Arabidopsis thaliana: one gene and its partners. The protein of the gene in region 1 interacts with the protein of each later gene in a pairwise test. Each region holds a gene or a part of one and is shown in the gene's direction. Other genes may lie near its edges. The genes, in order: NIMIN-2, TCP11, GAI and MYB21.

The links.
Region 2: the proteins of NIMIN-2 (region 1) and TCP11 interact in binary tests that used the Arabidopsis thaliana proteins (3 or more experiments, as listed by UniProt).
Region 3: the proteins of NIMIN-2 (region 1) and GAI interact in binary tests that used the Arabidopsis thaliana proteins (3 or more experiments, as listed by UniProt).
Region 4: the proteins of NIMIN-2 (region 1) and MYB21 interact in binary tests that used the Arabidopsis thaliana proteins (3 or more experiments, as listed by UniProt).

The regions. Positions count from the first base shown.
Region 1 is NC_003074.8:9,467,559-9,474,562, reverse strand, and holds NIMIN-2 (NIM1-interacting 2), read left to right. Parts: upstream 1-3,523; 5' UTR 3,524-3,673; coding exon 3,674-4,042; 3' UTR 4,043-4,206; downstream 4,207-7,004. Other genes in the region: AT3G25880 (NAD(P)-binding Rossmann-fold superfamily protein), read left to right, coding at 4,530-4,576, 4,688-4,843, 4,950-4,971.
Region 2 is NC_003076.8:2,676,425-2,683,927, forward strand, and holds TCP11 (TCP family transcription factor), read left to right. Parts: upstream 1-3,976; 5' UTR 3,977-4,403; coding exon 4,404-5,123; 3' UTR 5,124-5,569; downstream 5,570-7,503. Other genes in the region: AT5G08315 (Defensin-like (DEFL) family protein), read right to left, coding at 96-156; AT5G08320 (E2F-associated phosphoprotein), read left to right, coding at 729-759, 1,171-1,336, 1,924-2,179; ATSTE14B (Isoprenylcysteine carboxyl methyltransferase (ICMT) family), read left to right, coding at 6,588-7,181; AT5G08340 (Nucleotidylyl transferase superfamily protein), read left to right, coding at 7,477-7,503. UniProt on the Arabidopsis thaliana protein: Transcription factor involved in the regulation of the circadian clock. Acts as a repressor of CCA1 by binding to its promoter. No binding to the LHY promoter.
Region 3 is NC_003070.9:5,147,190-5,155,762, forward strand, and holds GAI (GRAS family transcription factor family protein), read left to right. Parts: upstream 1-1,792; 5' UTR 1,793-2,224; coding exon 2,225-3,826; 3' UTR 3,827-4,226; downstream 4,227-8,573. Other genes in the region: AT1G14930 (Polyketide cyclase/dehydrase and lipid transport superfamily protein), read right to left, coding at 5,276-5,556, 5,660-5,846; AT1G14940 (Polyketide cyclase/dehydrase and lipid transport superfamily protein), read right to left, coding at 7,586-7,866, 8,137-8,323. UniProt on the Arabidopsis thaliana protein: Transcriptional regulator that acts as a repressor of the gibberellin (GA) signaling pathway. Transcription coactivator of the zinc finger transcription factors GAF1/IDD2 and ENY/IDD1 in regulation of gibberellin homeostasis and signaling.
Region 4 is NC_003074.8:10,302,781-10,313,543, forward strand, and holds MYB21 (myb domain protein 21), read left to right. Parts: upstream 1-3,068; 5' UTR 3,069-4,815; coding exon 4,816-4,972; intron 4,973-5,220; exon of another isoform or gene 5,221-5,480; coding exon of another isoform or gene 5,481-5,490; coding exon 5,491-5,620; exon of another isoform or gene 5,621-5,623; intron 5,624-6,919; coding exon 6,920-7,313; 3' UTR 7,314-7,712; downstream 7,713-10,763. Other genes in the region: AT3G27809 (uncharacterized protein), read right to left, coding at 4,920-4,966, 5,504-5,603.

The DNA.
Region 1 (7,004 bases):
TTTTAGCTAAGTGAAGTAATAGAATTTTATTTTATTAATAGTATTAAACTACAATAACATATATATTCGTTTTTTAATTAAAAATAAATAAAAGAGAGTGACTAGTAACTACTCCTTCATTGTTTAGTGAATTATTCATATTATTTGATGTGATGTATACTTGTATTCTATAGTAATTTAACTCATTCTCCCAAATTGACTCTTAAACAAAAACATCAATTATAGATTCTGATAATTTTTTCGGCATTCAACAAAAATATCTTACAAAAGATCGACGAGTATAATTCAATACCATTAATTAACATAACAATTTGTGAGGTTAATTAATTACATTAGAGGTAGTTTACTTTGCAGTATCTTGATTGTGCTAAAGAAGAACAATTTCGAACGTGGAGGATTGTTCCATCCCCACATTTGCTAGTTGCTACCAACCGAGGGACTTTTCATCATAATTTACAAGTCTTCTTCCCATCTTTAGTGGGTATAAATAAATACAATTTTTTTTTTTTTTTTTTTTGTGCACCAAATAAATACAATGTTAATGAGAATAATTCACAACTCAAAACGTTTTTGAATAACTCTGTTTTATTTTTTCCACACTCAAGCATTTCATGAAGTCAATGGTCTCTTTTTGGGTCAACTAAGTCAGTGCTTAAGTTAAGTTACTCTGTAATATTCCGTAACATAACATGATCATGATCACTCTAATAACTTGCAAAATCATTTAAGTTCGGTCCGATTTGAACCGATCAATTTAAACTTGTATTTTAGAGGTTAAGCTCATCCATTATTTGATATCTTACACCATGAACGAACATTTGGTTAACCTAAAGAACACAAAATAAAATAAAAATTTCTAACATTTTTTGCTCGATTCTATTTGGTTTCGGTCCTAATAGTTTTGAAACAACTTAAAACAGGTCGCTTCCAGATTAATCCAAAAAGTTAACATCTCTAGATTAAAATTTATATATCAACTTCAAATTTTATGATTTTTTTGTAAGGTTCATTACGATTCGATCGATTAAAAATTTAAAACATTTTTTACTAAAGAAATACCAAAAAAATATTGAAAGTGTCATTTTCTTTCAATTCCATAAAACGAAAGGAACTCCTAATTTCCAAAATTTTGTTTATTCCACAGCTTTTTTAACATATCGCTCGCATTGCCACATTGGTCCAGACCTACTCCCCTTTTTATTTACAAGATTGCCACTTTAAAGAGTTGGATAATTAATTTAGTTTAAACTAAACATTTTTCTGCAACAATATAGTAGGAAAACAAAAAGCTAGAAGAAAAAAGAAAACAGTGAACGCACGCCTGAATGCATGTGATTGCCTACCCTACGTGAAGAAAAGACGATGCAATTACAGAAGTAAGAAAAACATTTTCTCCACCAATATACAATGACCCTTACTAATTATTACTATTTCAACAAAACGTTTCCTACGTAAGGAAGGCAACAGATTCATTTGATGTCATTTTTCAACGACAATAGACAAAAAAAAAGTAAAGCAATAATAAAGTAAAGTTGTACACTACATATATACTTTTTAAAAATTGTTGAAACACAAAATGTGTGCAAATTTATAACAGTGTATACAAAATGGATGTTCAACTACGTCAAAGACTATTCATGAAGAAAAACGGTCGTGACAAAATTTAGACAAATTAACAATATATTAAATAAAAACTTTTAAAATAATTTTAGTATTACAGAAACATTATTAGATAAATTCGCAATATTTTTGTTCTATTGAAAGAAAAACAAAAAAGAAAGAGTAAGGGATCATTACATTGATTTCACACATACAAGTGTCGGATTATCAGTGTCACGTGGTGTTTAAAATGTAGACATTTCACCATGTGGACTAATACATTCATAAATAATGCAGCCATCGACGACGACCATCAAGCAATTTTTATATGTGGAAAGTTTTTTCAAAAATTATTAGTAAGTGGACACGTCAGACAAAACAGAGAGTTGAAAAAAAAAAAACATAAGTGTAGAGAGAGCGAAAGACACAAGTGGAGCTGGTCGGAAGTTGGAAAGTTGGAAACAGCTTAGCCGCCCACGTCGGCCCTACAATTGATTCGACGTTGTTAAGATATAAAGCCCAATTATAATGTACTTAACTAAAAGGCTTTTACTTTAGGCCCATATGTAGATCTTTGTTTTCTTTTGTTAAAAGTTAAAACACCAATATCAATTAGTGCTTACATTATTCGAAAAATCATTACAAATTTACGTGTCATTTTAAATTGATAGTGGAAATAAATAAATAAATAAGACTAGGAATAATAATCGCAAGAAAATCTTCCCCACGTTAACGATGATCACAATTCACAAGTTCTTAGTCTTCCTTATTTATTTGTTGTTTGGCCAAATTTTTTTGGTCTTTGTTAAATTATAAAAATATAGATCTCTATGTATATAAAAATATGGGTAATATTAGAAACTAACTATGAAATGGAAAAGAATTGAGAGAATGACATTGTGTCAGAAAAGTTAGGTAAATAACATTTTCTGAAAAAGAGAAAATACAAAAATATCCTTGTGTTTACTTATTTTTACAATAATGCCATTGGCTTTAGTTATAAAGTTTATATGTATTTGTCTAAAATAGCATGATATATTTACAAAAATCATGCAATTCTTTAAAATACATACAGAATATATATACACGATATATATGTTTCTCTGAAATAATGTGTTTCTCAGAAATAGCACGAAATATTTATAAAAAGCATGCAATTCTCTTATAGATCGCGAAGTTTAAAAAAACATATAGAATTGTTACAATATTACATGGGTTTTTATTGGATAACATGACAAATATTTATTTATTTCATGAGTTTTTATTGGATAGCATGACAAATATTAATATATCAGTGTTAATAACATGTTTTGTTCTTAAAATACATGCATTTTAAAATCAGACATTTGTTTTAAAATCAAATCTAATCTCTTATATCACAACGACATTGACGGAAAATTCAGGTAAAAAGAGAAAATAAAGAATGAGAGATAGAGAGATTTCTATGGAAAAAGAAAGAGAGAACATGTAGGTGAACAAAATAAAGAGATATGATGATATATTTTATGAGAGGTGGTGAAGATTATTTTAGGAGAGGGAGAGAGAAATAGAAAAAGAAAATGACATGGTGAATCTGAAGAAGATGAATTGTGTTAAAGATGAAGAGAGAAAGAGAACTCCATGGCTAAAGTCTCGTAAAGAAGATGAAAAAGAAACAAAAGAAGGAAGAAGAAAGAGAAAGGCTAAAATAGACTAACTATTGCCAAAATTTCTGTAGCCGACAAATACTATTTGGTCCAAGGTTATTTTGTGTATTCTTTTGAAGTCAAAAGTTATTTCTTACATATACTCTAAAAATATAGCCGATACCAATTTTTCCACACATGGACTTCCTTTATTCCAAAAGTCAATAAAGTGTGACGTCATGATACTTACGCTTTAAAACATCGCATGATGATGTCATTAGCATCAATCTCCACCGTCCAATTTATTTAGTTGTTGACAATATCGACCGTCTAAGTTCCACACCGACGGCTATAAGAGTTTCATTATAAATTTTAGCAAAATAAAATCAGCAAATAATTTTTTCTTGACTAAGCTTAAACGACGCCGTTAACATTTTCTTCTGGCTAACATGAACAACTCTTTGAAGAAAGAAGAACGCGTAGAAGAAGATAACGGAAAATCTGACGGTAACAGAGGGAAACCGTCGACGGAAGTTGTTCGGACGGTAACGGAGGAAGAGGTGGATGAGTTTTTCAAGATATTACGGAGAGTACACGTGGCGACACGAACGGTTGCGAAAGTTAACGGCGGTGTTGCTGAGGGAGAGTTACCGTCTAAGAAGAGGAAACGGAGTCAGAATCTTGGGTTGAGAAACTCGTTGGATTGTAACGGCGTTCGAGACGGAGAATTCGATGAGATTAATCGGGTCGGGTTACAGGGTTTGGGTTTGGATCTGAACTGTAAACCGGAACCAGACAGCGTTAGTTTATCGTTGTAGACTTGTAGTCCTTCATGTTTTTCCCCTTCTTACAATAATCAATTTTTTTTTAACTACAATACTTTTGAAAAAAATGGTAAAAGAAGATTATTAACATGTTATCCAAATTTCAGATTCTTCAGTTTTATTTTATACGTCAAAAGAGAAGTTATATATTTGCAAAACTACAAGTCAAACAAAAGCTATTTAAGCGTTTGACGTTCCTAAACAACATAAATTTTACTAAAATCAATGTTTTAAAAAAGTGTTGATGGTAAAGATATCAATTGGGCCTTTGCCTGGCCCGTTTAGTAATATTGCAGAGTAGGTATGGGCCTGTATAAGGGAGTCCAAAAAAAGAGCGGGCATTGCGGGTTGGGTGCGTTTGGAACTTTGGATTGTGGATTAGTCATGGTTTATCTATTAATGTCTGCGGACTTGTGGACGACGCGCTTGTTCTTCTTCCTCTGTTTACGACTTACGAACATATGATCTCTCATCTCTAACAATGATGGAACCTAAAGCCAAGTACGATCGTCAACTCATGTATACTATGTTAGTCTCTTCGAACTCTACATTTGTATTATTCTATCGATCTTCGAACGAATCTTGTTGGGAGGAAATTTTATGAAGTAATCGTTGATTGATTAGGATTTTGAGGTGAAGTCAAGGGACTTTGGAAGAAGCGAGTATCTGTTTACTCAATTGTGGTCCTATTGGTTCCAATGCCTTGAAGAATCTCGTCCTTGGTGGTGTTGGTAGTATCACCATCGTTGAAGGATCCAAGGTTCTAATTGGAGACATTTGGAAACAATTTCATAGGTACTAAGTAATGACTAGTTTTTGATTTTTTTTGTTGCTATTTTTAGATGCTATTTGTGTAGTTAAATAGTTATGACATCTCTTTTTCGTCGTTGTTTGGTTATAGCTGGTGGAAGATTCAATGGTGAACCTAGATATTAACGATGGAGTAGACTGAACAGTTTGTGTTTGGTGATAACACAGAATTACAAAACTTGTGGAATAACCATTTATTACGGTCAAAGTCTCTTGTCTTCAAAGGCATGCAATAGAACAGAAGTTCTCCATAAGCGAAGGTTTCAGAGACGAGAACAACACTGTGTTTCAGAGACGAGAACAACACAGTGTGTTTCAGAGACAACTAGAACAGAACAGGATTGCGGGCCAGACCGTTAGACCAATGGACATTGCGAGGCGAATATGGGCTTCGATTGGTCGCATGTGGTCGTTGGCGGACCGGACCACCACTTATGGAAAAGAAGCACGGGCCATCACGGACCCCCCATTTGGTCGCGTGCTCGCCCGTCTGACATCCCTAGTTGATCGTCATCTAGATTTTAGACGTTTATGTGATATCTAAATAACCGTTTTGGCTGTCTAAAATTCCATAAGTTTTATTTTAGTTTATTTTTTAGTTTTCAACTATATAAATTTAAATTATAAGTTTTAGCTTTGTATATATTGTTTGTTTCCAACTATATAAATTTAAATTATAAGTTTTAGCTTTGTATATATTGTTTGTTTCCAACTATATCAATTTAAATTATAAGTTTTAGCTTTGTATATATTGTTTGCTATGAATTATAAATGGTTTTATCTAAGTTTTGTTTATAATTTCATATTTTTATTTTTCTAAGAGATAGTTTTCTATGAATTTTATTTATAATATAATATTTATAATATGTTATGTTGTAAATGTGTAGCCGCTTAAAATCTCCTAAATCATGATTAGACGTTCTAGGCGTAGATCACCACCTCTTAAGTAGCTAGTTAGATTTAGCAGATTATCCAGTTATCATGCAGATTAATTGTATTAGATAGATTTTGGTAAGATAGGTGAATTTAGCCTAATGCTTTTAAATTTATGTATTTTAAAATTAGTGAATACTGAATACTCATATTTCTTGCTTATGTATTTTGATTAATTTAAAATATACAATTTATTTCTATTAACTTGTTTTTATTATGTTATATTAATACAGAAATATATTTTATTTTTATTTGAAAACTATTTAAACCTCTAAAAAATCGTCTATCCACTAATTGACTAATTGTTCTAGCCCTTTAGGCATTAAGCAGAGAGTTATAGTCCATTTATTGTTTTCTTGACATTGGAAAATACTAATAATGCGTAATTATATTAAAGGGCTTTTGGACCTTGTAAGTTGTAGGTTGGCAGACGAAATTGGACAGAAATTTAGCGCAAGACGAGAATTGTGCAAGTGTGAATCACATCCATCCATTTTAATATGACGTGCTATCTCGTTCTTTCCTATGATACTTTAAGTTAATTGAATAAGTCAAAAGTGGATGATAAGATATAGAATTACTAACACGAAATGATATGATTGAAGCAAATTAACATGTCTTCTTTTTGTTTTATATACATAATTCTCAAATCTTTTTTTTCTTTTAAAATCTATTATATCTTTCTAACACAAACAATATATTAAACGAGTTAAAAGTCTAGTCATTCACAATAGTAGTAGTTGTGGACTTAGGTTGCTAGTCAAGCTAATCTTAATCGAGATATGTATTGGCATGACATATAGCTGTGTATCGAGATATGTACATAGACCTGCACGGCTTTATACATGTGCTGGAAAATCTGATATACAAGGTCTATCCAAAATTTGTCTTTTTTTTTATACGTAAATCTATTACAATTAGGGTCCAACTATTAGAGCATTATAATAGTTGACTATCATCATTTTCTCTTTTCGTAAGGCTTTCATAGTTTTTGCAAATGGCTTTGCTCGAAAACGATTGTTTCGGTTGCTTCCCAACAAAACGCTATACCAAACAAAGAATTACAACTCGAACAATTTTGTCTGGATTACATGGACCGTCCATATTGGCCACATAAATGACGTGTTATACATGAGCATACAAATTAATGAAATGATATAACCTTTTATTTTTTGGGTGCTAAAGTCGTTTTGGGTACAAGTTTATAAGATCC
Region 2 (7,503 bases), on another chromosome or scaffold:
ATTAAAGTAATAAGTTTGTATTGAAACACAAAAATAAGTTTGTTAGAGTGTAAAAACTTGAGAAAATACCCCTAATTATAAGAGAGAATACGTACCAATAAGTGAGAAAGTGAGAATAAGGAGCAAAGCAAAGGAAAAAACTTTCAAACCAGCCATTGTTAATAGTTTTTTTTTTTTTTATAAGTGTTTATAGATGATTGTGAAAGTGATGATTTTATTATAATACAATGAGATGTTTATATACACGTAGAGGTAACTAATCACAATTAATGTAAATATATGAATATACATAATTAGAGGATTGATATATTCAAGGATATGAATGTATTCTTTGATTGATTGTGAAGATACGATGGTATCCGTTTAAACTTGTTTTTGGTAATTCTATGGTAACGTTTTATTTAGTCTATTGGAAAATTCAAACCCCTTCATGCTCTGTTGTACAGACAACTTCTTCTTGTTGCAAATAACAAAACACCTTAAAGGCTAAAATTAAATACTGATTTTTACGAAATGGGCTTCTTAATTTCTTAAGGCCCATATATCTTTCCATCTGAACAATTTGTAAGCCCAATTAGAAGCCACTGTAAGTTATATAAAACGAAGTTTGTCATCGTCTTCGTCGGTGAACCTCCGATTTGACTGCACCGTCGGAGCTCGACGCTGAGCTAAGCTTAACCAAGAGCTGTCGTATATTACACTAGCAGTGAAGATCGAATCTTAAAACCATGGCTTCTCCGACCAATTCACAGAAAACAGGTAAAATAAAACCTTTAATACGCTCAAACCCTTTCACTCGCTGGCCGATTCGACTCAATCCCTTTGTTGTTTCGTTCCTTCATCCATGGATTTCTCATAGGTTTCGGTTAATATGATCTCTCTTTTGCTTTTTTTGTCATCCATCGTATTGAGACCTTGAGCTATTTAGTATTTAGCTAAGTTTCTGAATCTTTATGGTGTAATTGATGTTGCTATTCGTAAGCTAATTGATGCCATAGATTGCGAAAAGAGAAGTTGTTTCTTCAGTATTCAAGAGATTTGTGTTCTTGTGTTCAAGTTTAGATTTCAAGTTATTTTGTAATAATGTGGAATCAGAAGGACAAGTATGTCTATTTTCTGTATATTGATTTGATGAGGCCTAACTTCTTCTTGTCTACTACCTTGTAACAGTTTCGGATGACGAGGAAGTTGATTACTCCATCAAACCGGAGTTCTATGATTCAGATATTGATGATAAAGATGAGCTTTGGATGGATAAGAAGAGAGATGGTCGTACTTCTGATGCTCTTCTTAGCTGTCCAGCTTGTTTCACCACTGTCTGCTTAGAGTGTCAGAGGTATTTTCCTCTCTCAACATCAGAACTTGGTGTTTTATCTTCATACGATTGTTATATCCCATCCAGGCTTTGCTTTCTCAATGTTGCTAGGGCTCCATTGTTCAATCCTCACCAATGTGTTTGCTAATATATTGATAGTAACTTGCTAGATTCTGGAATGTTGACTTGATTATGAGATTCTTGACAATTGTTACAGGCTCTAGGTTTTTGTTAGGAATGACAATCTTGGTAGAATCCAAACCAGTTATATGACTTGATTAACGAGAAAAATTTCTACTCTCAGTCCAATTCCCAATCCCAAAACCCATAGGTAAATCCAGAACTACCTTTTCTAGCTGCTAGCTCTGTAGCTAACTAACTCAAAGATTGCTGATACAACTACTATCCACTACACACCGCCTAGGCTATTACAACACTCATGCGATAGACTAATATAAGGACTTTATCACAATGGATTTCTTTCTTTCCTCTTCAATCCGATGATATTGTTTTGTTTATGACTTGATCCCTTTGCACTTCTTTGAACTTGGTTTTAGTATTATAAACTGCGGAACCAAATTAAGACAATCTGAGTAAAACTTTTGCAGGCACGAGCAGTATGTGACACAGTACAGAGCAGTCTTTGTGGTCAATTGCAAAGTAGGTACAGACACAGTTTTGCAACAGAATACAATGCCCTTAAAGGTTGGTAAAAGAAGGAGAGATTCCGAGATGCAAGAAACTGGTTCTGAAGATAGCGAAAAAGTTAACCCGGTCTTTTGCTCAGCTTGTTCCACAGAGATCGGAGTAGTTGACAGTGAAGAGATCTACCATTTCTTTAATGTCATTCCAAGCGAGCCTTAAAACAACCTGGTTTTATGAGTTATTTGTAACGAGTTCTAAACAGGTGATTAGGATTAAAGTTTCGATTGTTTGCGTTAATCTTTACGTTGCATGTATATCGTTTGATAAAAATCAAGTCACTAGAGAATTTTGAGTTATACCAAAGTCAGAATCGTTCACAGTTCACATGATTAGTAATTTAGTATCAAACAAATACCAAATACAACAAACTACAAAGCGAGTTGGTCTCTGAACGTCTTTTAGTCACGCTAGTCAAATAGATGGCAGAAGATAAAGCGATCCTCTCAGTTTAAAAAAACGAGATGACGTGGATTATTCTGATTGGTGGAGTAAGCTAAGAAAATCTAGAGAGGCATCGCCAAATGAGAAAACTAGAAAAGAAGATATTTGTATGAAACACGAGTTGATTCTCTTTTGACAGAAGTGTCACTTTCTTGTATTTTCGTCCACCAACCCCCATACTAATAATTCTATACAAATTCCCATTAATAAATAAAGGCAGATGAGAATGGGCTCCAGCTGTTTAACACATTTGACAATTGTCAAATGATTCGTACACATATTACTATTTTAAAATAAAATAAAAAGATTAGAATATACTATAAGCATTTTTGGTAAATTGGTGATCATTAAAAATTTCTATGCATTTATCCAGCTAACCCCACAACTAATCATTCAAATCCCAGTTAATCACTCAATATAACTTTTAACATGCGCCGGTCATTAATAATTGTCAATTGTATCATACAATTTGTATGTAAGCTTTTGTGGCAACGTTTTCTTTTAAGAACTAGCTAGTTCAATTGAATCCTAGCAAGTAGCTACGAAATGTGACTAAAATTTCTCTACGAGTCTCTAGTTTGGTGGTTCCTCAGCTGTGCGTCGTAGTTTCAAGTTTTTACTATCTATCATACTTTAAGCATGCACAAAAATATTCTTTTCATCGCTTTTGATAGCACCTTCACGTATTATATCGACAACTTTAAGAAGTTGGCTTGGGTATAGTTTTTAAAAAAAGGCATTTAAACATCACTCATGGTTGTATCGTATGGGTACGGCAATCATCATAACAATTATTTCTGTTAAAGGATTTCACAATCATATAACAAATATTAAGACGATAATATAGTATAATGTGCATTATATATTCATCATGAAAGAAATTATTGTCGCGAAACAATTTAAAAAATCTCGACGCAACGACATATCAAAATCGGCATATCTGCCAGGTGGGCACGGCTACTTTTATTATGCCACGCTCCAAATGGAATGATTTGTTTTATTATTGCTTAATGGGTAATAAGAATTTTGATTATACAAATTGCACACACGAACGCATATCGTGTGGGGGTCACAGTGGTTGGGTTATACTCAGATTAGTAACCTGTGTCATAAAGCGCGTAATTGTCATTTCTTTTATTTGAGCTATTTATTTATCCTAGAAGTTAAATAAAAAATAAAAAATAAGAGACAATCACAAATTAGTAGATGTGAAATTATAAATGACTAAAAATAAATAAATTAAAATCGTACAAAATAGAATCGTAATCAGTGTAGGTGTAAAGTATACTCACCAATCAATTACCACCATTGATTGTCTCTTATTCCTCATCTTTTCAACTATTGTGGAAACTGGAAACAGCTTTTGTCTTAATTGCAATCTAATTTCCCTACATCCTATAAAATGCATTAAACTCATGAGGTAAACGTGTATGATTACTGTGGTTACAAAGCATAAAACATATACTACTTCATTCTAAAACAAATTTTATCGATAAGAAATAAAGGTAAAAATCAGCATTGTTGTGGTTACATGTCACAGAAGTAATAAGAATTAGTAAAAACCAAAATCGAATTCATATTATTCTTGTAACGCTACTTATTTTCTACGAATCCTAATTACTCGTAAATTAGCTAATGTAATTCAAGCAACCATATAAATGGGGACCCCAACTAACTCCTAAACCTAAAAACTTAAATTCTCCTGCCCGACCGTGGTCCAACGCTATAGTCAACACCGGAGTCAAGCGCGTGAGCTTCAACCGCGTCCGGACAAATTAAAAAAACCTAGCAGAAGTGAGCTGTGTGGGACCCCACCAGCCATGTGCTCTCCTTCCTGTCTCCACCAGCCTAGCTTCCTCTCAAATCATTACCTCCTTCTTCTTCTTCTTCTTCTTCTTCTCCTCGAGAGAGAGTTAGATAGTGATAACGAAATCCTAATTCCATGGCCGACAACGACGGAGCAGTGAGTAACGGCATCATAGTCGAGCAGACGTCAAACAAAGGACCTCTTAACGCCGTTAAGAAACCACCGTCTAAAGATCGACACAGCAAAGTTGACGGAAGAGGAAGAAGGATTCGTATGCCAATCATTTGCGCAGCTCGAGTTTTTCAATTGACCAGAGAGTTAGGTCACAAGTCCGATGGTCAAACCATAGAGTGGCTTCTCCGTCAAGCTGAGCCTTCTATCATAGCCGCCACTGGAACTGGCACTACTCCGGCGAGTTTCTCCACTGCTTCTCTCTCCACTTCTTCTCCGTTTACTCTCGGGAAACGTGTCGTCAGAGCGGAGGAAGGAGAATCCGGCGGCGGAGGAGGAGGAGGGTTAACAGTGGGACACACAATGGGGACTTCGTTAATGGGTGGTGGTGGTTCTGGTGGGTTTTGGGCTGTTCCGGCGAGGCCGGATTTCGGACAAGTCTGGAGCTTTGCAACCGGAGCTCCACCGGAAATGGTTTTTGCGCAGCAGCAGCAACCAGCTACACTCTTCGTCCGCCACCAGCAGCAACAGCAAGCTTCCGCCGCCGCAGCAGCTGCAATGGGTGAGGCTTCAGCAGCTAGAGTTGGGAATTATCTTCCGGGTCATCATCTCAATTTGCTTGCTTCTTTGTCTGGTGGAGCTAACGGGTCGGGTCGGAGGGAAGACGACCACGAACCACGTTGAGAAATGGTATTGTCTTTTTGGTAATGTATAGAAAAATTCCTATGTTTTATGTCATCGAAAGTGTTTAGAAAGTACCTCTAATTTGCGGTTTCTTTTGCTCCTTTTTTACTTAATTTAAGCTTATTGCTTGTTTGATTAGGGTTTTAGGGTTTAAGAATATTTGGTCTCGTTAATTTGTTTCGGAGAGTGATAGAAAGAGAGAGAGATTGATTGATTGTTGTACCTAAAACGCTATAAAAGCTCTGTTTTTACTAGCGAAACAGAGAAGTCGTTTAACTAGTGATCATTGCCATTCAATCAAGTCTCTTTAGAAAACTAAAGAAACAGCAAAAGAAACAAATTTGAAGTTGTCCCGTTAGTTTTAAGCATGAATTCTATTATGGTTCGTTCGTTAATGAAGTTGTCCCACTATTTACTCTTTCGTAGTAAAGGAAACAAATTTGAACTCGGGTTAACGGAGCCGGTCCGGATGATAATTCAGGTTCCACCAAAAACTTTTAAAACTAATAACAAGCCCATCCACTATCCAGAGCAGTATAATCGTAAGCTTCAAACACAAAAGAAATACTTCAATTTAACTCATCGTTATCAGTTATAACCGGAACAAACCGATAGGGGACCATTGGATCAAACCGTCTCGAACCGGTAACCCTAAAATAGTCTGGTTCTTGAAATTTCGGTGATCCTGCAACGTTTCTTCTCATCGATTTTGACCGGAAGCTCCTTGATTCAAACAAGACTTTTCTTATCGGGGAAGATCAGACGGAACAGAAGAGATCTCTGTGTTTACAAAAGTAATTCCTTGATTATAGCAAGCAAAGAATAAAGGGTAAAGGTGTAGACTTTGCTTCTCTCCTTCAAAGTCCACGCGATTCTCACTGTCAGCCTCTGCGAAATTTCCAGTCTTTCTCGCATTTTCCCTCGTAGCAGCCGTCAATTTCAACTGGGTATGTCTTAGATCTTCGTAGCGTTTACGGTTCCTGCTCAATTCTTCGTTTCTCGTGGTTTGACAGTTGAGTTACAGAAAACGAGGACGAAAAGCCTAATTGAAGAAATTAGTGATTAGAATTTTGTGATTCCGTGAAATTTTAGTATTAGTAAGTATAGACAGAATAGAAAAAAATCCCGTACTATTCATCAGCTATACATATCTGTTTGTAATTCTTTGAGTAAGATCTTCAATTCTCATGTGAAAACTGTGTTTTGAATGCTTGTCATAGATCAATTGTTGGATTAAGAAACATTGTAGTTTAGTGTTAGAAGAACATTAATGTGAGATTTGTTACATTGATTGACATTAGTGTTCCTGTGATTTGGTTTTAAAAAATCTTTGGTGAAGTGAGTTGGATTGGATTTTACTTGAATGCTTGTTGTTTCCCATCTTTTGGCTAATGATGTTCTTTGACCTTCTCGGGTCTGTTACTCGCATGTTTTTTCAGGTCTAAGTAATCTTGTGAAGACTCAATGACAGAGATATTTAGTGACACCGGGTTCAGACAGTTAACTCAAATGTTCCTGGCGATAATCTTCTTCCACACATCGGAGTACATTCTCGCCATAGCCATTCACGGAGCATCGAAAGTAACTTTAAGCTCACTCTTAATCAGCAAACACTATGCTTTAGCAATGCTAATATCAGTCCTCGAGTACATAGCCGAGATTGTTTTCTTCCCGGGGCTGAAACAACACTGGTGGATCAGCAATTTCGGTCTTACAATGATCATACTTGGAGAAATCCTTCGCAAAACCGCGATAATCACAGCAGGTAGATCGTTCACACACCTTATAAAAATTCGCCGGGAGGAGCATCATAAGCTTGTGACAGAAGGAGTGTATCAAATCATGAGGCATCCGAGTTACTCCGGGTTTCTCATTTGGTCTGTGGGAACGCAAGTAATGCTCTGTAATCCAATTTCAGCGATTGCGTTTGCGGTTGTGGTGTGGCGGTTCTTTGCAGAGAGAATACCTTATGAGGAGCATTACTTGAAGCAATTTTTTGGGAGACAGTATGTGGAGTATGCGCAGAGAGTTCCTTCTGGTGTTCCTTTTGTAAACTGATCCTTAGATCAATTGTGAACATATACGAGCATTGTTTGATTACCTTTTACATAGAAAATTATGAAAGAGATGTTGTTACTCATGTTTTCAGTTAATGTTCTCTTGTCAATGTCTTTGTGTTTCTTTTTTTTTATTGCTAAATAATTTGGATATTATTCCAAAGACTCTGCCTGAGCCAGAGGTTTATGCTTATGAACATAAAATTTGACCACTGGGTTTTAAAAGTGATTTAGCTCCGGCGAAGAGTCTCTCCGTGAGAGCGAGCTTGTCCGATTTGTAAGCACGAGACGGAACCATGTTGTGCGGAGGCTCACGTGTCTTG
Region 3 (8,573 bases), on another chromosome or scaffold:
GGTCCATCTATTTTGTGCCGATGCGTATGCATGGTTCTCTATCATTGAAATTTGTTAAGAGACACTTTTTTCACTATTTCAAAAAGACTCAAACAATCTTGTAAACCCAAGTTATTCTTCCTTTTTTTTTTTGTTCCAAAAATGCCTAGTATTTCAAGAATTCAGTAATCCAATTTTACTTGTTTAAAATTGGCTTGTTTATGTAATTAACATATATCACGACTTGTATTACTTCTTTAGAAAAAATAATGTTTGGACTAAAAAGCAGACTAAATATTCATTACGAATGATGTGACACCATTTTCATTTGTTAGCTTCTACTACTATAAAAAATAAATAAAGGAATCAATGAGTGCACCTTTAATTTTTTTGGTTAATCAACGAGAGCACTTGATATCAAGTATGACGATAACCAATCAAAGTAAAAAACTTTGGATGTCTTTTTCTCTTTGCTAGTAAATTAATAATTATACCTACCGAATTTGTAACACATTACACATTGACATGGTGCATGTTTAATCCAATACTATCGACGTCACTCTATACTCCGTAAGTAATAGTATATATACATTGAAATGATCCATTATACCATCTGATAAATTTTTGTGAAGTGGCTAAAAATATAAACAGTTTTTTTTTTTTTGTGAGAAAATGATGTAACGGAGCATAATTATTCGTGGAACACAAGAACATGTAACCAACCATGTAGCACAGCGTTAATTGAGATGGTCCATACGAAGAGCCGTCAACGGTGGGAATGGTCATCTCAATTCTCATCAGGGCCTAGCGTATAAAAATACTTTAGAGACGTGTAATAATCACATGGGATCTTTGGGACCACAGTCTAAATGGCGTACGGTAAGTTCAAGGGACCCGTTTTACACGTGGACCCAATCACATGTTGTCAGTTCTGATTTTCACGAAAATAATTTCGAATATTTTTGTAAGACATTAATTAGTGGGACTAATTGTTATTTTCTGATCTGTGTAATCTTATTATGATTTAAGAATAGTTGCCGTAAGCGACGGCGTTAAGTACATACTACAATTGTATTAACCAATTTTATCTACAAATAGCAAAAAAAATCGAGACTATACTTTAAAAAGAAACGATTACAACTTAACTCTATCGTAACATGTAATTGACAAAATAGTGAATGCTATTTAAGTGTAAAGACTGAATGCTACTATTTGATAATTACTGTTATTTTGAAATGGGTTTATATATACTGCAGTTTACTTTTCTACCCCCTTGCTCGAAACATGCCTACATTATTACAAAGGGGAAGGCTAGGGCACTCAAACAGTATGATGAAAGCTTTTAGTTCCCCATCCAAAGAACAAATATAAAAGTCTTTTGTAATTAATGAAAATGTTACTAGTTCTTATCCACTCTTACAGATAAATACTAATAAGGTTTAATTTTTTTTTTAAAGATCTTATAAAAAATGTTAGAAAAGGAGCTTTTTCTTATATTCAATTTAAATTTTTTAACAATTTAAAACTAAAACGGGAAAACGTCATAGTCCCTCAATCTCTTTTTAATAAAATGGAATATTAATTTCCATAATGGGTTTAATGATGGTTTACTTTTCCCAATACAAAAGTTCCATTTTATTTAATAAGACTATACTAAATACTTAAACTTTTTAATAAAAAATATCTGTATTTTAGATCAAAAGTTACAATCACACAAAACCAACACAACAAACTCCTTAAAAAAGCGACAAAAAGTAAATTGTACCACTAGTTGCATGACAATCTTTTTAGTTGTTCAAAATTGTATGACCATCTAAACTCTAAAGTAATACTAACTTTAGAAAATATTAATCTGTAAAAAGCTATATATTCCCTAATATATTAGTTTATTAATTTCAATATATTCCCTAATTACAAATTTTGGTGTGTGTGTGATTTTCAGCCTTATCTCTTTGAGCTGTAGATGTTGCTGTTAGCCCTCTGATCCATGATTCATCGGACATCGAGCCCCATCACGAGCCTTTTTATTCTCAACAATAATAATCATTTTTTTTCTTATAACCTTCCTCTCTATTTTTACAATTTATTTTGTTATTAGAAGTGGTAGTGGAGTGAAAAAACAAATCCTAAGCAGTCCTAACCGATCCCCGAAGCTAAAGATTCTTCACCTTCCCAAATAAAGCAAAACCTAGATCCGACATTGAAGGAAAAACCTTTTAGATCCATCTCTGAAAAAAAACCAACCATGAAGAGAGATCATCATCATCATCATCATCAAGATAAGAAGACTATGATGATGAATGAAGAAGACGACGGTAACGGCATGGATGAGCTTCTAGCTGTTCTTGGTTACAAGGTTAGGTCATCCGAAATGGCTGATGTTGCTCAGAAACTCGAGCAGCTTGAAGTTATGATGTCTAATGTTCAAGAAGACGATCTTTCTCAACTCGCTACTGAGACTGTTCACTATAATCCGGCGGAGCTTTACACGTGGCTTGATTCTATGCTCACCGACCTTAATCCTCCGTCGTCTAACGCCGAGTACGATCTTAAAGCTATTCCCGGTGACGCGATTCTCAATCAGTTCGCTATCGATTCGGCTTCTTCGTCTAACCAAGGCGGCGGAGGAGATACGTATACTACAAACAAGCGGTTGAAATGCTCAAACGGCGTCGTGGAAACCACTACAGCGACGGCTGAGTCAACTCGGCATGTTGTCCTGGTTGACTCGCAGGAGAACGGTGTGCGTCTCGTTCACGCGCTTTTGGCTTGCGCTGAAGCTGTTCAGAAAGAGAATCTGACTGTAGCGGAAGCTCTGGTGAAGCAAATCGGATTCTTAGCCGTTTCTCAAATCGGAGCGATGAGAAAAGTCGCTACTTACTTCGCCGAAGCTCTCGCGCGGCGGATTTACCGTCTCTCTCCGTCGCAGAGTCCAATCGACCACTCTCTCTCCGATACTCTTCAGATGCACTTCTACGAGACTTGTCCTTATCTCAAGTTCGCTCACTTCACGGCGAATCAAGCGATTCTCGAAGCTTTTCAAGGGAAGAAAAGAGTTCATGTCATTGATTTCTCTATGAGTCAAGGTCTTCAATGGCCGGCGCTTATGCAGGCTCTTGCGCTTCGACCTGGTGGTCCTCCTGTTTTCCGGTTAACCGGAATTGGTCCACCGGCACCGGATAATTTCGATTATCTTCATGAAGTTGGGTGTAAGCTGGCTCATTTAGCTGAGGCGATTCACGTTGAGTTTGAGTACAGAGGATTTGTGGCTAACACTTTAGCTGATCTTGATGCTTCGATGCTTGAGCTTAGACCAAGTGAGATTGAATCTGTTGCGGTTAACTCTGTTTTCGAGCTTCACAAGCTCTTGGGACGACCTGGTGCGATCGATAAGGTTCTTGGTGTGGTGAATCAGATTAAACCGGAGATTTTCACTGTGGTTGAGCAGGAATCGAACCATAATAGTCCGATTTTCTTAGATCGGTTTACTGAGTCGTTGCATTATTACTCGACGTTGTTTGACTCGTTGGAAGGTGTACCGAGTGGTCAAGACAAGGTCATGTCGGAGGTTTACTTGGGTAAACAGATCTGCAACGTTGTGGCTTGTGATGGACCTGACCGAGTTGAGCGTCATGAAACGTTGAGTCAGTGGAGGAACCGGTTCGGGTCTGCTGGGTTTGCGGCTGCACATATTGGTTCGAATGCGTTTAAGCAAGCGAGTATGCTTTTGGCTCTGTTCAACGGCGGTGAGGGTTATCGGGTGGAGGAGAGTGACGGCTGTCTCATGTTGGGTTGGCACACACGACCGCTCATAGCCACCTCGGCTTGGAAACTCTCCACCAATTAGATGGTGGCTCAATGAATTGATCTGTTGAACCGGTTATGATGATAGATTTCCGACCGAAGCCAAACTAAATCCTACTGTTTTTCCCTTTGTCACTTGTTAAGATCTTATCTTTCATTATATTAGGTAATTGAAAAATTTTAATCTCGCTTTGGAGAGTTTTTTTTTTTTGCATGTGACATTGGAGGGTAAATTGGATAGGCAGAAATAGAAGTATGTGTTACCAAGTATGTGCAATTGGTTGAAATAAAATCATCTTGAGTGTCACCATCTATAAAATTCATTGTAATGACTAATGAGCCTGATTAAACTGTCTCTTATGATAATGTGCTGATTCTCATGAATATGCTCTTTTAATGTGCATGGTATTATAGGTGGACCAGATTATTTTAACAATGCTAAGTCGTTTTCAGTTTTCTTATTTGTTAATTTGAAAGAAGAAAAGTAAACAAAAGAAACCGAAAAGATACAAATGTCCACCTTTAATACATGTATCTGAAAGATATAGTAGGCGATTATATATGTCACCTAAAAAAAAAAAAGAGTAGGCGGATTATATTGTTCAACATCAACTGCACATAAATAATTCCACATATGTAAAAATGGGAGATGTTGATGTTCTTCGTAAATAAAAGACTGAAGTTTTTTTTTTTTTTTTTTGACAGCAATTGAAGTTGGTTTACGAACTTGTTTAAGAGATAAAAAAACATTCGACAGTGGTGGTAGTAGACTAGACTTCACTCGTGACCCTTTGGTATTATATAGTTGAGTGACTGTGACATTTGATCCTTTGTGATGTATAAAAAGGGCACGAGGGCGGTTTGATGGTTGATTATAGTCAACTTTTGCTACCCCACATATATGGGCCGAATAAGTGCTAATGGGCCTTAGTAAAAATCCCAAAACAAGTAGAAATGGTTCAGAAAAAAAGATAGCAACTTTGAGGTGGGAATTGGTCAATTGGCAAAACAGAGGGTTCTAAAATCTAGGGTTTATACGTTCTATAGAAGGGAGAGGAGGAGACGTGAGAGTCTTTAGGCGGAAAAATATATTTGCATATTTACTTTTGTATGTGTTTGATTTTGTTTCAGAATTATGGATATTTTGGATTTTGGTTAATCAATCTCTCTCCCCTCGTGAAAAACTTTCTTTATCTATTTTGATGAAATTTTTATTAGGAGATGGATAATGAGAGTCATGAGACTAAATGACTAACATACATCCGCTTTATATCTTACACAAAATCGTATAACTAACACACTTATTTTATTACGAACACGCATAATAACATCACAGACAGAGATGGTATACATAAGCATACAATACAATTGCTTAACAAGACCGCCATTATTATTAGCATAACATGTAAAGGCGGATGATAAAGGCACTTACGAGACAAGTACAAAAGACACATGCATGAGGATGATTTACGACGATGACCATGGAGGGTTATTAAGCTTTGTTCTGGCCCTTGAGGATGTGGTCATCCATATCAGCAACTAAGCTCTTGACAAACTTCATGTAGTTGATGGGTTCGGGGGAGTCTTCGTTGCGATTCTCCCATATCAGAGTGACTTTGCAGACGCAGCCTTCGTTCGACTTGGGAATGAACTGTAAGATAACCTCATACTTCTTGTACTTCTCCATCACATGACCCTCTAGTCCTCTGAACGTCAACGCCATCTTCTCGTCGTCTATCTCTCTTTTCTCCTTGATGACTTCCGGCTTCCCATCTTCATACACACACACACATTTTTAGTCCACATTAGAATATATAGATATCATCCAATCCTCGCGTGTTACCAAACACAGAAAGAGATAGAGTAAAGTATGGACCAAGTGTGTAGTTCCAGGATTTGATGGAGCCGTGGGAGTCCCAGTCGCCATCGTGGACGGTGACGCCTTGGACATGGTGGCCGATGGCGTCCGGGAAGAGATTGTTTTGGCTCCTCCATCGCCTGTAGTGTTTCTCCGCCGACCCTTTCAGCGGTACTTCCGCCACGTATTTTCCTGACATCGCCATTTCTTGATTGATTGTTTTCTTTTGAAATGTGTCAAGTGTTTTATTCGATGGAAAAACCCAAGTGTTGCGCTTCCTTTATATACAAATTAAGACTCACCACAACACTAACAAGAAACGAAATTATGGCGATAAAGATTTAATTATAGGTGGTTTATATCTTTTAAACTATAAGATAAAGATTTCATTCGTTTAACATTTGCTAAATCCTGAATATGAAATGCTTAGTCCATCCGTACCATTTTAAGTGACTTTTAACCAAATAATTGTTTTATTTTAAGTGAAAGTTAAAGAAATGTATACGTAAGGATAGTTTGTAAGCGCTTGAATATAAGGTTTGAATTGGTTGGAATATGTCATTATTAATAGATAACACATAACAGATTATTAACTGGATAAAAAGAAGCAAGAAAAGTAGGGCGAAATAGACGGGCAAGAGGGTTTTGCGTTATTTAATGACCATAGATGTCATAGTGATATGCTCCACATGTGTATCCCATGTGTCGTCATGTCCAAATTACCTCACACTTATAGATTCTTTGAACCTATTTTTGTTTTGTTTTGACACAAGCACCCTTTTATGTTATAACCATCGACTTAAGAAGTATCTTTAATTTACATAAAATATGAATATATAACAACTGAAAACTGTCCTTCAATTAGATACGAAACGTGTCCATCAAAATTAGTTATGCATATATTGATATTCCCACATATGAATCAATGTTGGAATTGGATTGATCCGAGTTTATGATAAAATGTGGGATTAATGATTATCCAATATATATTAGTATTTTGTATATAATATAATTAAGAATATATGTAGAGTGTTCAGGTTTTATAAGTTTTTTAGTACGTATTAGAATAATCTATTTAGGGTATCTATGTTTAGTTTATTCTTTCTTTGTAAAAGCTGCAGATTGTTATAGATTTCTAAATTTCAGTCTTTACTTGGTTATCTTTTTTTGGTCATATCGTTCGTACTTCTTAATTATCACACCCACATGCATGAATATTTCAATATTCCCCTTTTTTAGTTAAAAGACTTTACGGTAAACGAGAATAATTTTTTTACGATCTTGTATAAGACGTTTATTATGACGATCATAGTGAATATGCATTTATGAGAATCTCAATGTGATATATGAAAAGAAAAGGAAACCTAGTATTAAACATTAGCACTGCATGGTAGGGATCATATTGTTTCCATGAAGACTACTTTGAGATGAATTAGTCACTTCGTTGAGATGAAACGTTATAATTATACCAACTTCATAGTGTTGCGAGTCCAATCATCAAACAAATTAAGGAGTGATCGCATAAATCACATTGAGATTCTCATAAATGCACATCCAAAAATTATACAAGAGATGATAAGGTTGGAGCAAAATTAAATTGTCAATTGATCTGCTTCTTGAAAAGGTTACCTATTTTAGTGAAGATACTTATGTGATAGATAATGACGATTGAGGGTATATATATACATCCTAATATTATGGGCTATTTTACGTCTTACAATTACTATTTTATTACGAACACACACTTACACCACGAAAACATCATAACAACATGTAATCATCAAACAGAGATGATACATAGGCTTCCAAGACCGCCATTATTATTAGCATAACATGTATAAAGGGGGAAAGAGGCGGATGATAAGTCACGTACGTACGTAAAGATACACAAAAGATACACACACATAAAGATGAAGACCATTCGACGATGACCATAGAGGGGATTCAAGCTTTGTTCTGGCCATTGAGGACGTGGTCGTCCATGTCAGCAACTAAGCTCTTGACAAACTTCATGTAGTTGATGGGTTCGGGGGAGTTTTCGTTGCGCTTTTCCCATATGAGAGTGATTTTGCAGACGCAGCCTTCCTTCGACTTGGGAATGAACTGGTAGATAACCTCATACTTCTTGTACTTCTCCATCGCTTGACCCTCTAGCCCTTTCAACGTCAACGCCATCTTTTCGTCGTCTATCTCTCTCTTCTCCTTGAAGACTTCCGGCTTTCCATCTTCATACAAACACACACACACACAATGCTAGACCAAATTAGCCGATCGTCAATCCTCGTATTACCAAACATGATTAAAGAGAGTGGACACCCGGTGTCGGTAGCCCTACTTTGAAACTCTTGGAGGAGAGTTTGAGAAGGTTCGAGGCCTAGCTACCAACATCTGGGAGAGGACTTATCTACCTTATTCCTTGGCCCCAAAAAATATATGGACCAAAAATCTAAAACTACCAAAATACTACAAAAAAAGAGAGAAGGTAAAGTAGAGACCGCATGTGATATTCCATGATCTGATGGAGCCGTGGGAGTCCCAGTCACCGTCATGCATAGTGCAACCTTGGATGTGGTGGCCGACGGCATCCTGGAAGACGTGGTTTTCGTTCCTCCACTTCTTGTAGTGTTTCTCCGCCGATCCCTTAAGCGGTACCTCCGCCACGTATGTTCCAGACATTGCCATTTCTCGATTGATTGTTTTCTTTTGAAATGTGTCAAGTGTTTTGTTTGATGCAAATACTCAAGTGTCGCACTTCCTTTATATACACGAAACTCACCACAACACTACAAATAGCAAAACGGCTATATATATATATGTATATGTAACATTATACATAATTGTCTCCTTCAAATATAGGGTTTAATTCTTTTAATTAGAGCTAAAAAAAATCATTTGTTCACCATCTACTAGATCCTGAGTATGAATGCTTAGT
Region 4 (10,763 bases), 830 kb from region 1:
CAAGAAATAATAAATCATATCTAATTACTAATGCATACTTTCGGTGTCTAAGTTTCGGGCTTATAATATTAAAGATGAAAGTTAGTGTCTCTTAGAAATTCATACTGCAACGTTAAAATCCAAAACATATATTTGTGTGGATATAAATTTTGATCACTCGAGAAATATTTCTTTTAAGGATTTAAACTTTCGCACTAAAAAATCCATATACAAAAATAATGAGAAATTAGTATTTTCTTGATTTGATGAATGAATGTAAAGGTGTAGCATATAGTTTCTAAGTTTTGAAGCAGGTATCCTCTGCGTCCACCTTCCTTTTCTTTTAATACTCTTCTTCCTCAATCTTCTGCATTAAATACCTTAATTACATTTGATTATCCGGTTATAATTTGATATCCAAATTTTGTAATGGTTTATTGACTATAGGTTTTTATAGACCGTTTAACTTAGTTATCTCGAACTAAACCTATTTTAAGAGTATATCCGAGTTAATATCATTTTTAAACTGTGATATATGTAATTCCGTTCGAGTCGGATTAACATGTCGAGATCAGACACCAACAATTCATAACATAATATACCTATATTTTCCAAATTTGAGTAATTTAATTAATTCACCCTAGATAATTTGAAGGGGTTTTTCTTTTCTTTTTTTCAGAAGTAATATTAAGGGTTATATACGTAAATCTCAGCAAATTACAGTCTTGTGTTTTTTTCATGTTTTTTTGCCTAATGTAAACTCTAAAATCTTTGAATGTCGTACATGTTTCTCCACAAAGATTTTTTTTTGCGATATAAAAGATTACATACTAATTTATGCATTAAGAACAAACAAGTTTCTACATCAATTATTCTACAATTTACAGCTGTTGATAATCAGATTTTTTTATATGAAAAATTGCTTTAGAAAAAATAATAAAACATGAAGAACTATATATATATATATATATCTTTTAATTATATATATTATAAAAGCTTTCAGTTTTTAATAAGATTCGTTAAGCTTAAGTGGTAAAAAAAAATACTTTTAAACTTGGAAACAATATTTTAGAACTCTTAATTAATTAATTACACACGTAATTAGTTGTTGGGGTCACATAGTCACATGCGTGTGTTGTTCCTTCTCTCAAGGTCCCCCACACACATCTAATTGATGATCCTAGGCTTGTCACTCTTATAGCCACTCATACAAATGAAGCTTAAGCCACTTGACATTGCCATTAAACTCCATAAGCTTTGTTTTTTTTCCACTTACAGGCTTCCATTAAATCTTCCATTACATTACATAACAGAAAAGCAAAACACTTTTGCCCTTTTTAGACATTTGCTTATTGTGAAGGTGTGAAGAGTCCACGTTTCTAGTTTATGTTTCTTTGAAGATTCCTCTTCTCCACGCGCCTCTTTACGCGTATTCTATTACCGACTTCTTCCTTAGTTAGTGTGTACGACAAACAATTACAATTTCTTTTTCGATTACAAAATTGGAACCACTATTCATATATTTAACACTAGGTTTTTAAGTTTCATCGAAGCTTCAGGCAGATCACTAAAGTGAGTCTAACCTTAGTAAATAAGGTTTTATAAGCTTGCCCACACGTAGACAGTAGACTCAATGTGGGATAAAACCGAATATGAAACTGTAGTAAGAAAAAAAACTTTTGTAAAGTTACGTCATGTTTTTTAAACCCAATACTATTGTATCACCACACGTATTTATTCACATTTTTCCGTTAACACTAAAAATCTTTTATTTTTGAAAGCGTAGCCAACCAATATTAGATAAAATTACTGCATAACTCGTTTAGTGTATTAGTAGATTTTTTTTAGTGTCTTTAAAAACACGAGTTCAAGTTTAGATAATAGAGAACATTTTGATAGAGTATTTATACTAGAATTTTCACACATATGAAAACGAATATAATTTTGGAAATTTTAAATTTTCTCTTTTCAAAAACAAATTAACAGAAGATGTTAGTTTGTAATATGTTGGTAATTGTGATTTTCAAAGTTTTAAATTCTGGAATTTTCAATTACAATTTTCTACTTGGTGTACATAAAGCTTGTAGTAAATTTGTTAATTCGGAAGTTAATGGATTTTTTGTAACAAGAAAATAAAAATGATTAGTACTTGAGAGTTGACATTAGCCAGTAGGGAAGTGCATATAACGCGCTTAAGAGGGAAGTAATTAAGAAAAGAGTCGTTTCCACTTAATTAAATCGTAGCCACAAATAATGGGGTTTCTTAAAAATGGCTTAAGTGTACTTAAACTTTTGTATGATACGCCAAATTATGTGCCCTTTCAAATATGGAAACTATTTAGTTATGCTTTAACGAGTAGGTTTTCAATCACTCATAACCCTTGCTATAAAATCTAAAATATATCATTTTTATTTTATTTTGCAAATATGAAAATCTAATGGTCTTATTAGCTCCATAGATCATTCACCTCCTCAAAGATAACATAGTTATTATTATTTTTTAAAGTTACTTATCAAATAAAAGTGCACCAATTCAGATGTTTGGTATACGGGTCCGGTACCATGGACTTGGCCCTTGGGTCTACCCATATTCGACTCGTACCCAAACGTTTATTTTGTTCTTTTCAATTGAACTAACAAACTAAGCATCTTAAGTATAAAAAAATCGTTAATTGTAATGTAAAAGCCAAAAACCAACAGACAAATATTGATTTTTGCGTTTGTGCTTAACATAATTATTTAATGAAAAAATTATATGTTTTAATTTTATAACTCAAAACCTATTTCTTAAACTGATGTTGAATTGTCGAAAAACTAAATTAATAATGTTGGCAGATATATATGGTCACGTCAAAGTCTATCTAATCAGGACTTTTGTTTTTAATCTTGATAAACGCATGTTATCGCATTAAAAATGAAAAGAGATGGGATGTGGCAACAAAAGCAAGTATTTGCTACTTGAAGTGTGAAGGACCATACATTTGATTAATTTTGGATGTGTTTTTGGTTAGGAATTAGTCACTTTTCACTTTAAGATAATGGATTTCGAATTTGGTTGGGATTAGAGTGAGATAACTTTTTAGAGTGTCAAGATCGTCGCGTCTCCATCTTAATTTGTACTTTCTTTGTCATGTTCTTAATTTGTTTACTAATAGAGTATAATAAGTTCAGTTACCTACAATTAATTAAGTTAATTTGGCGTCATTATTTATTACTATAAAGTAGTAAACTAATGTACTTTTATCGATTTCTTTATGAGACATGCCCTACTACAAAAGCATATAAAGATCATTGAGTTGTTGAAGTACATAGCAAATTTATTCTACCAATTTAATTACCATCCAATCTTTTTTTCGTCAACTATGACTTGAATATATGGACAATATGGTTGACTAAAGAAACGACAAGGAGTCTCATGCCGAAAACTTAGTACGTCGAGGCTTGTGTGTGGTAACGATGGAAGAAATAGATTGAGAAAAAAAAGTGAAACGGCAAGCAGTCTGTTTATGAAGTCTTTGGATCTCTTAAACCGGGCTTTGTCCAAAATTAGAATGGAAAAAAAAAAAGAAGGATCCCTTAAACCGGTAAGCAACCCGATTAAATTCAATATGTGTACAGAAACTTAATTTGATTTTTTTATAAAATTTAAATCAAGACTAATATGGAGACTTACAAAAGTTAATTATATGAATTGTATGTTACAGATTGAGTGCGAAAGGATGTTCCACGTTCAATCCACTAGCGAAACAAAAAAATCATTTATTTAACTGATTGTCTTCGTAAGTTTACTTAGTAATATCATGTTGAAACATTAAATCTGATATATGTGCCACTATGTAAATCATTTAGTTAACTTATAATTGAAACAAGAAATGTTATGTGTGCCACTATGTAACTTTTATTAGTACATATATAAAGGAAATAGCGTTTAATAAATCGACTGCTAATCTAAAACTAACAAGATAATTAATTATGATCACTAAGCTTCATTCTAACAAATCAGTTTATAGAGGACAAGAAAGCTTATAATTACTCCACCTTCTTTTGTCTTTTTGTTTGTGAAAGAGAAATATCTGATGGTAAAAAAGCCCAAGAAGACCTCCTCTCTACACCTTTAAAGTTTATGCAAATTTAGAAACAAACAAAACGGACCACTATAGCTAATTATCTTATATAGATAAGATATGTAGAAGGAGGGATATACATATGTATAATAACAATCTTGATATATAACTTCCATCATCCATGGTTAAGATTGTAACACCATGAGTTGGTGCGAGGATAATTCATATATACAAACCAAAAATCACGCGTATGTATGTTATTGCATGCATGTCTTGCATCATCCATGCATGAATGCATCAAAGAGTCTCCAGTCTTTAATATACATATCTACATGGATGGATGAAAGTCATGAAACCATGTTATTAAAACCCTTTTTCAAAACAAATAATAATGAAACCATGTTGTTATAATTGGTTAGGTTTGAAGAGATATACATAGATAGTCCCCATGCATGTGTTATTAGTAGTGTTTAGGATGAAAATAACCCCTAATACATAAATTAATTTTATGATTAATTAACACTCTAAGATTAAGGTAAAACATAATTAATTAAGACTTTAGATTAATTAAGGGTTAGTAATCACGCGGTGAATTTAGTCTCTATAAAAGCAGTACCTCACCTTCCACAACCTTCAATATCAACTCACCCACATCTTTCTCTCTTATTCTCTCACTCTTTTTTTTTTATATTCCTCTCTCTCTAAATCTATAAAATATATTTAAAAACTTGATCGTATATAATAAAGTAAATAAAGAATAATAACAAAAAAAATGGAGAAAAGAGGAGGAGGAAGTAGTGGAGGTTCGGGATCATCAGCAGAAGCAGAAGTGAGAAAAGGACCATGGACGATGGAAGAAGATCTTATTCTTATCAACTATATCGCCAACCACGGCGATGGTGTTTGGAATTCTCTCGCCAAATCTGCAGGTTCGTTTAATTTCTTCTTAAAATCAAATTCAATTATTTATAGTTATATACATATATGGTGTATGAACTAGGGTTTCGTCATAACATGCAAAGGTATATATCCTATACGACAAAAGCAGACTTTTTTTTTGTTAAGGTAAAATACTTTTTCTTACGTACGTTCATTTCTTTTATATATAAATCTATCTACACAGATATTAATTATATTTTCATAACTAGATTTTTTTTTTAAACGTGTATATATATATGCTCTATTATATTCGTTCTTTGTTAAAGAATCAATCTAAATATTAAAACGTTTTCATGTGTTGGATACTTGGATATATGATGCTTTAATGATGGCCTAGTGGTAGAGTAAAATAATGTAAAATACTTTTTTAAAACATCAAAAATAAATGATACACGTATTTTTATACTCATATGTCATATGTGCTACTACTAATTATAATTATGTGAATATATATCCACGTAGTAAGAGTCATATTGATTGTGATGATTGATAATATGAATGTATATAGGTCTAAAACGAACCGGGAAAAGTTGCCGGCTCCGGTGGCTGAACTATCTCCGCCCCGACGTACGACGGGGAAACATCACTCCAGAAGAGCAACTTATCATCATGGAACTTCATGCTAAGTGGGGAAACAGGTTGGTTTTAATTTACTTGTCGTAGAATATATATAAACAATTATATATACATACATATACACTATGTGTAACTAGAGAAAAAGACAAACAAAGGCAAATTCTTCCAACTTTGAATCGTTTATATACTCTGAAGCTGCCAATATGCCACGTAAATCTATGAAAAGACAAGAAAGCAAGACATTTGGTGACTAAAGCAAAAAGTGTTTATTTCCTTTGTGATAAGCTTGATCGAAGTTTGTTCTTAGACGTAGCTAAGAGTTTTTGTGCACGTGTCAAATTTTCTTAGCCACTCACATTAAACCTCGTGGGTTTTATCAAAATAACATTTGAAAATCGTGCCTATTTCTCCTCCATGCTCATGCGTCAGCGTCGACATGGCTAGATTTTTCCCCAATATTTTTATTTTTATTTTTTTGAAGTATATAAGTGTGTCAAATTTATTCAAGTGATTTCCCACGTTTCTGGAAGATATTTTTCTTTAATTTATCTATGTTTTTTATTCGAATTCTATATTTATTTGTTTTATATGTATATAGAGCTGGAAAATATGGCCCAAAGTACAAGGTACATGATTCTCTAATTCAACAAATTAAATGGTATATTTTGTTTTTAAGTAAGTGCGAATAGACTTACATATTTTATCATCTAAACTAGTATAGTTATATATATATATATATATTTTTTTATAGTATAGTTTCATGTTATCTGCAATTAACTAATTACGAATTTGATTCTTATTATTTAAGGTCAAAATTTTATCAAGGGAAGAACCAAAAAATATTCATTTAATTTGTATTTTCATAATTCTTTTATTTAAATTTTCAGTTATTTTATAAGTTACTCTTTTTGGGTTGGTTTTAAACTAGTTTCATTTTCCTAATCTCTACAGTTTAATTGACATCTAGCTTTTATCAGTTAATCTTAGAAGTACCGTTTATTAACACTTTTAACAAACAAACAAAAAATTGTAACGCTTTTAAGTTTTAACAACAAATAAATTATATAATTTATAAGGCTTATCAGAAAGAAAGAAAAAAATAATCTAGAAATTGAAAAAGATCCAAACATTGTACATGTAATAATAGTACAAAACCAAAAAGCCTAGCTCATGACAGACACAACTGAAATAGACGTAAACCTTAATGTTTTGGCTTCATCTAGACGTACTAACTTTGGTCCTATGCATTCGCATATTAAATCTCTTTACCCCACAACAATCATTAGCTCATCATAATAAACTAACACTAATAGTTAAATAATGATGTCACTAATGCAATTTCCTCTTAATTGTATGATTAGGTGGTCGAAAATCGCCAAACATCTTCCAGGAAGAACGGACAACGAGATCAAAAATTTCTGGAGGACAAGAATTCAAAAATACATCAAGCAATCGGATGTAACAACAACATCGTCCGTTGGATCTCATCATAGCTCAGAGATCAACGATCAAGCTGCAAGCACGTCGAGCCATAATGTCTTTTGTACACAAGATCAAGCGATGGAGACTTATTCTCCTACACCGACATCATATCAACATACCAATATGGAATTCAACTATGGTAACTATTCGGCCGCGGCAGTGACGGCAACCGTGGATTATCCAGTACCGATGACCGTTGATGATCAAACCGGTGAAAACTATTGGGGCATGGATGATATTTGGTCATCAATGCATTTATTGAATGGTAATTGATTGATCGGTGGACAAAACATGGAATATTAATTGAGTATTATATATGATTTTTAGGAGTACTATTATTAGTACGTGACATGTATATGTTTTTGCCTCGTTGTAGAGGTTTGGGGTTATAATTAATATATAATGTTATCTAATATGCAACCTTGATACATATTTGGATCTTTATTGAACCCATGTTATACATAAATAAAATTGTTGAAGGGGTCATATTTCCGGATATCTTTTGTTTTATTGAAGTAATTTTTCTTAGGAATGTTCGTACGTACCATGTATATATGAGAACATCATTTAGTTTTGTTTTGTTGATGACCTATGAATCTATGATTAGTTTAATGTATATATCATATAAAAGTTGTTATTTACTCCCTCCGCTAGAGGTTTTCACATATATTATAAAGCATACCAAAATATAATGTCAAATTATAATCATAATATAATTACTATATTGGATACTTTTAAATTACGATAAAACATTAAAAGTTATACAAAAGATGGGTTTGGTAAAATATAAATCCGCTATACATAAAAATTAACAAAACATCAATTTTCATAAAGCAACAAATAAGTTTATAACATGGTCAAATTGTTTTTGTGCAATCTATAACATGATCCTTTAATGAATTTGTTAATTTCTGTGAAAAGGTAATAATTGTATTTGTAAAGTACTCTTAAGTTTAAGTGACTCTGAATTCAGTGCAAATGATTGCACCAACCTCGTAAGATGCACTTTTCTTAATTTTACAACCATAATGTATGCGGCGGATCTTAAACAAAAGCCTTTATCCGCATATATATCTCATGTCATACTCGACCAGTACAATTATCCGTTAACCAATTGATATAGTTACATAAGAATTTATAGTTAAACACATCATATAATTTGTATACAGTTTTTCTTTTTCTGGAAGGTTAAATCAGAGCAAGACGTCAAAGCAATAAGGTTAAAACAGAGCAATAATTTTAGGTGTATGATCAAATCGAGAAGCACCTTCAATGTTCATCCATATATATATGCAAACACATACACTGATACACATATGAGTTAGGCATGTATATACATATACATAATACATGTAACATGTGGATCGATGTGTGTACATATCACATGACGTACTCATCATGAAACATATAGCACCTACTCTTACCAATCGCAATAAGACACGTATCACATTGATGCTCAAAATAGAAAGTTTTTGGTACAGTTCACGTTGCCTTTATTCAACAATTTTTATCCATTTTTGGGCATCGCCATTCAACATGTAGAACCCGACGTGAGCCTAACTCCACGAATCAAAACCACAACCTTTAAGATGAAGATATCAACTTATCTTAGTTAATAAATGAATAGAAATAAACAATGGTTCAGTTTGATTGATATTTCTATCCATATATTCTTCAAAACCATAAATATTTATACTTAAAACATGGGATGAAAAATAAGTTTCAATAAGGTAGGAACATGTACATATATTGAGCCGCAATGATATAGATTGACTATATGACATAAGTTCGTAGAAATGTGTAATTTATATTTATTATATGTATAAATTGGGTAGAATAATTTGGAAATTGGGACATGATGTTAGGTTTGGAAGTGTAAGCACTATAGCGAGACGGCAAAAGCATTAAAAGCTTTACCGAACTTTTTAACTTTAGTCTTTAAGCAACGACACATTTTGTCCCAATGAAGCATGTGTAAAGGATAAATCCAAGCTCCACTTCCTCTTCTCTATGCATTGGCTAGAATAGGAATAATTCATATATATTCCAATTATTATTAACTTTTTTTAAATTGGCAACCATGTTATGTATATAGTATCTTTATTATATTCACATTGCATGCTACACTATATATATTTCTTTTACATCTTGGTGTAGAAAAGTAGAAAACTCGCATTATGCTTATTTTAGATTCTCAACTACAAATTTAAATTCGAAATGGATGTGGAATTGGGCCACATGTTTATTTAATTGATTAGGCCAACGTTTTTATCATGTGGGAATTGTCGACTTCACATGTGAATAATAAAGGAAAAATCACATGGCGGGTCGGTCACAAACATACAAGTGGTTTATAATTTAGAAATGTAAATAAACGTGAAAGAATTGTTTTTTTTCTTTTAAATTCTCTTTATTTGTGTATTTGCTTGTTCATTGTTATAGCCTCATGCCTTAGCTGTACTTTCTGTATATAGCAAAAACCATTTTCTTCCCGTCTCAATGAGTTTGACATAATCTTTATTCAATGTTGAACAGTTGAAGTCGGCGAATATCTAAGAAGATTTTCATAACTATCGACTTACTAAATTATATCATGTGCAGTAACTATCTTTGAAATCAAAGAAGATCTTCCATTAAAGATACATAAGCAAATATTCTTTTTAGTGAATATGGTTTTTAATTTCACTATACTAGGGTAATATATTTTTCGGTTCATGCAATATTCATTCAATTAAACTATCATGCCTTTACCATTACAATTCACTTGGTTCCGGTTAGATCAACTTTGTTTTTGGCTTTGGTCGATTATTAACTTGGCCCAAGTCATGCATTCCACGCATGAAGCACCCTCCGAAGTTCCTTTCCTATGTTCTCTCTAATCTTGAACCTGAGGGATTGATTGAGAGTGACAACTCTTTCGGTTGAGAGCAATAAACTCATTTGATGAATAAGGTTTTCGACCTTTGCATCCATTTTTTTTTTCCTTTAATCTAGAGGGTTGTCGATTCAGAAGCAAGAGTCAAAACTAAATTTGGAAGTTTAGTTCCACCTAATTCAAACAATGATATATATGTTAAACCAAGGTTAATAATGTTAAACATAGTTTCTTACACTATTATGTCTATTATATGTAGGAATTGATTGATTATTATTTTTAATTATTATGAAAATGTCTACTGAAAAAAATTAAGAGTTTTGGCTAATTAAAAAGCTAGACAAAAAAAGTTTTTGGCCATTTTCTCTATAGAATTTGCTCTTTCTGTTGTTACTTACATTAAATGCTGTCTTGCACCTATATGGCCTGAATGTGAGGAAGGCCCATATCTATTGGTGAAAGAGCCCAAAGGTTAGGCCATTCAGTATTTTTCTGTTCTTGAACCTGATATGGATCTTCTTGAGTTTATTTGCCTCACTATTCCTGAGCCTATTATCATCACATTATATCATACAGTTGCATCAATTCAAAGCCTAAACAATTGCATTAACGTGTTTCTAATAAAAAAGGATCGGAGGATTATTGATAGTTATATCTTATTTTAAGCCCAAAAGATAAACACATTTGTGGTGGTTGTTTACTTCGCGTATGTGTCCTTACCATTCAGACACAAAGTTATACTGTATTATTTAATGTATCTTATGAGCCACTTGGCAGAGAGATATGGAACGTATGAACTCGTACTTACCACACGTCTACGATAAAAGCTTAGTTTTGTCTATCGATAA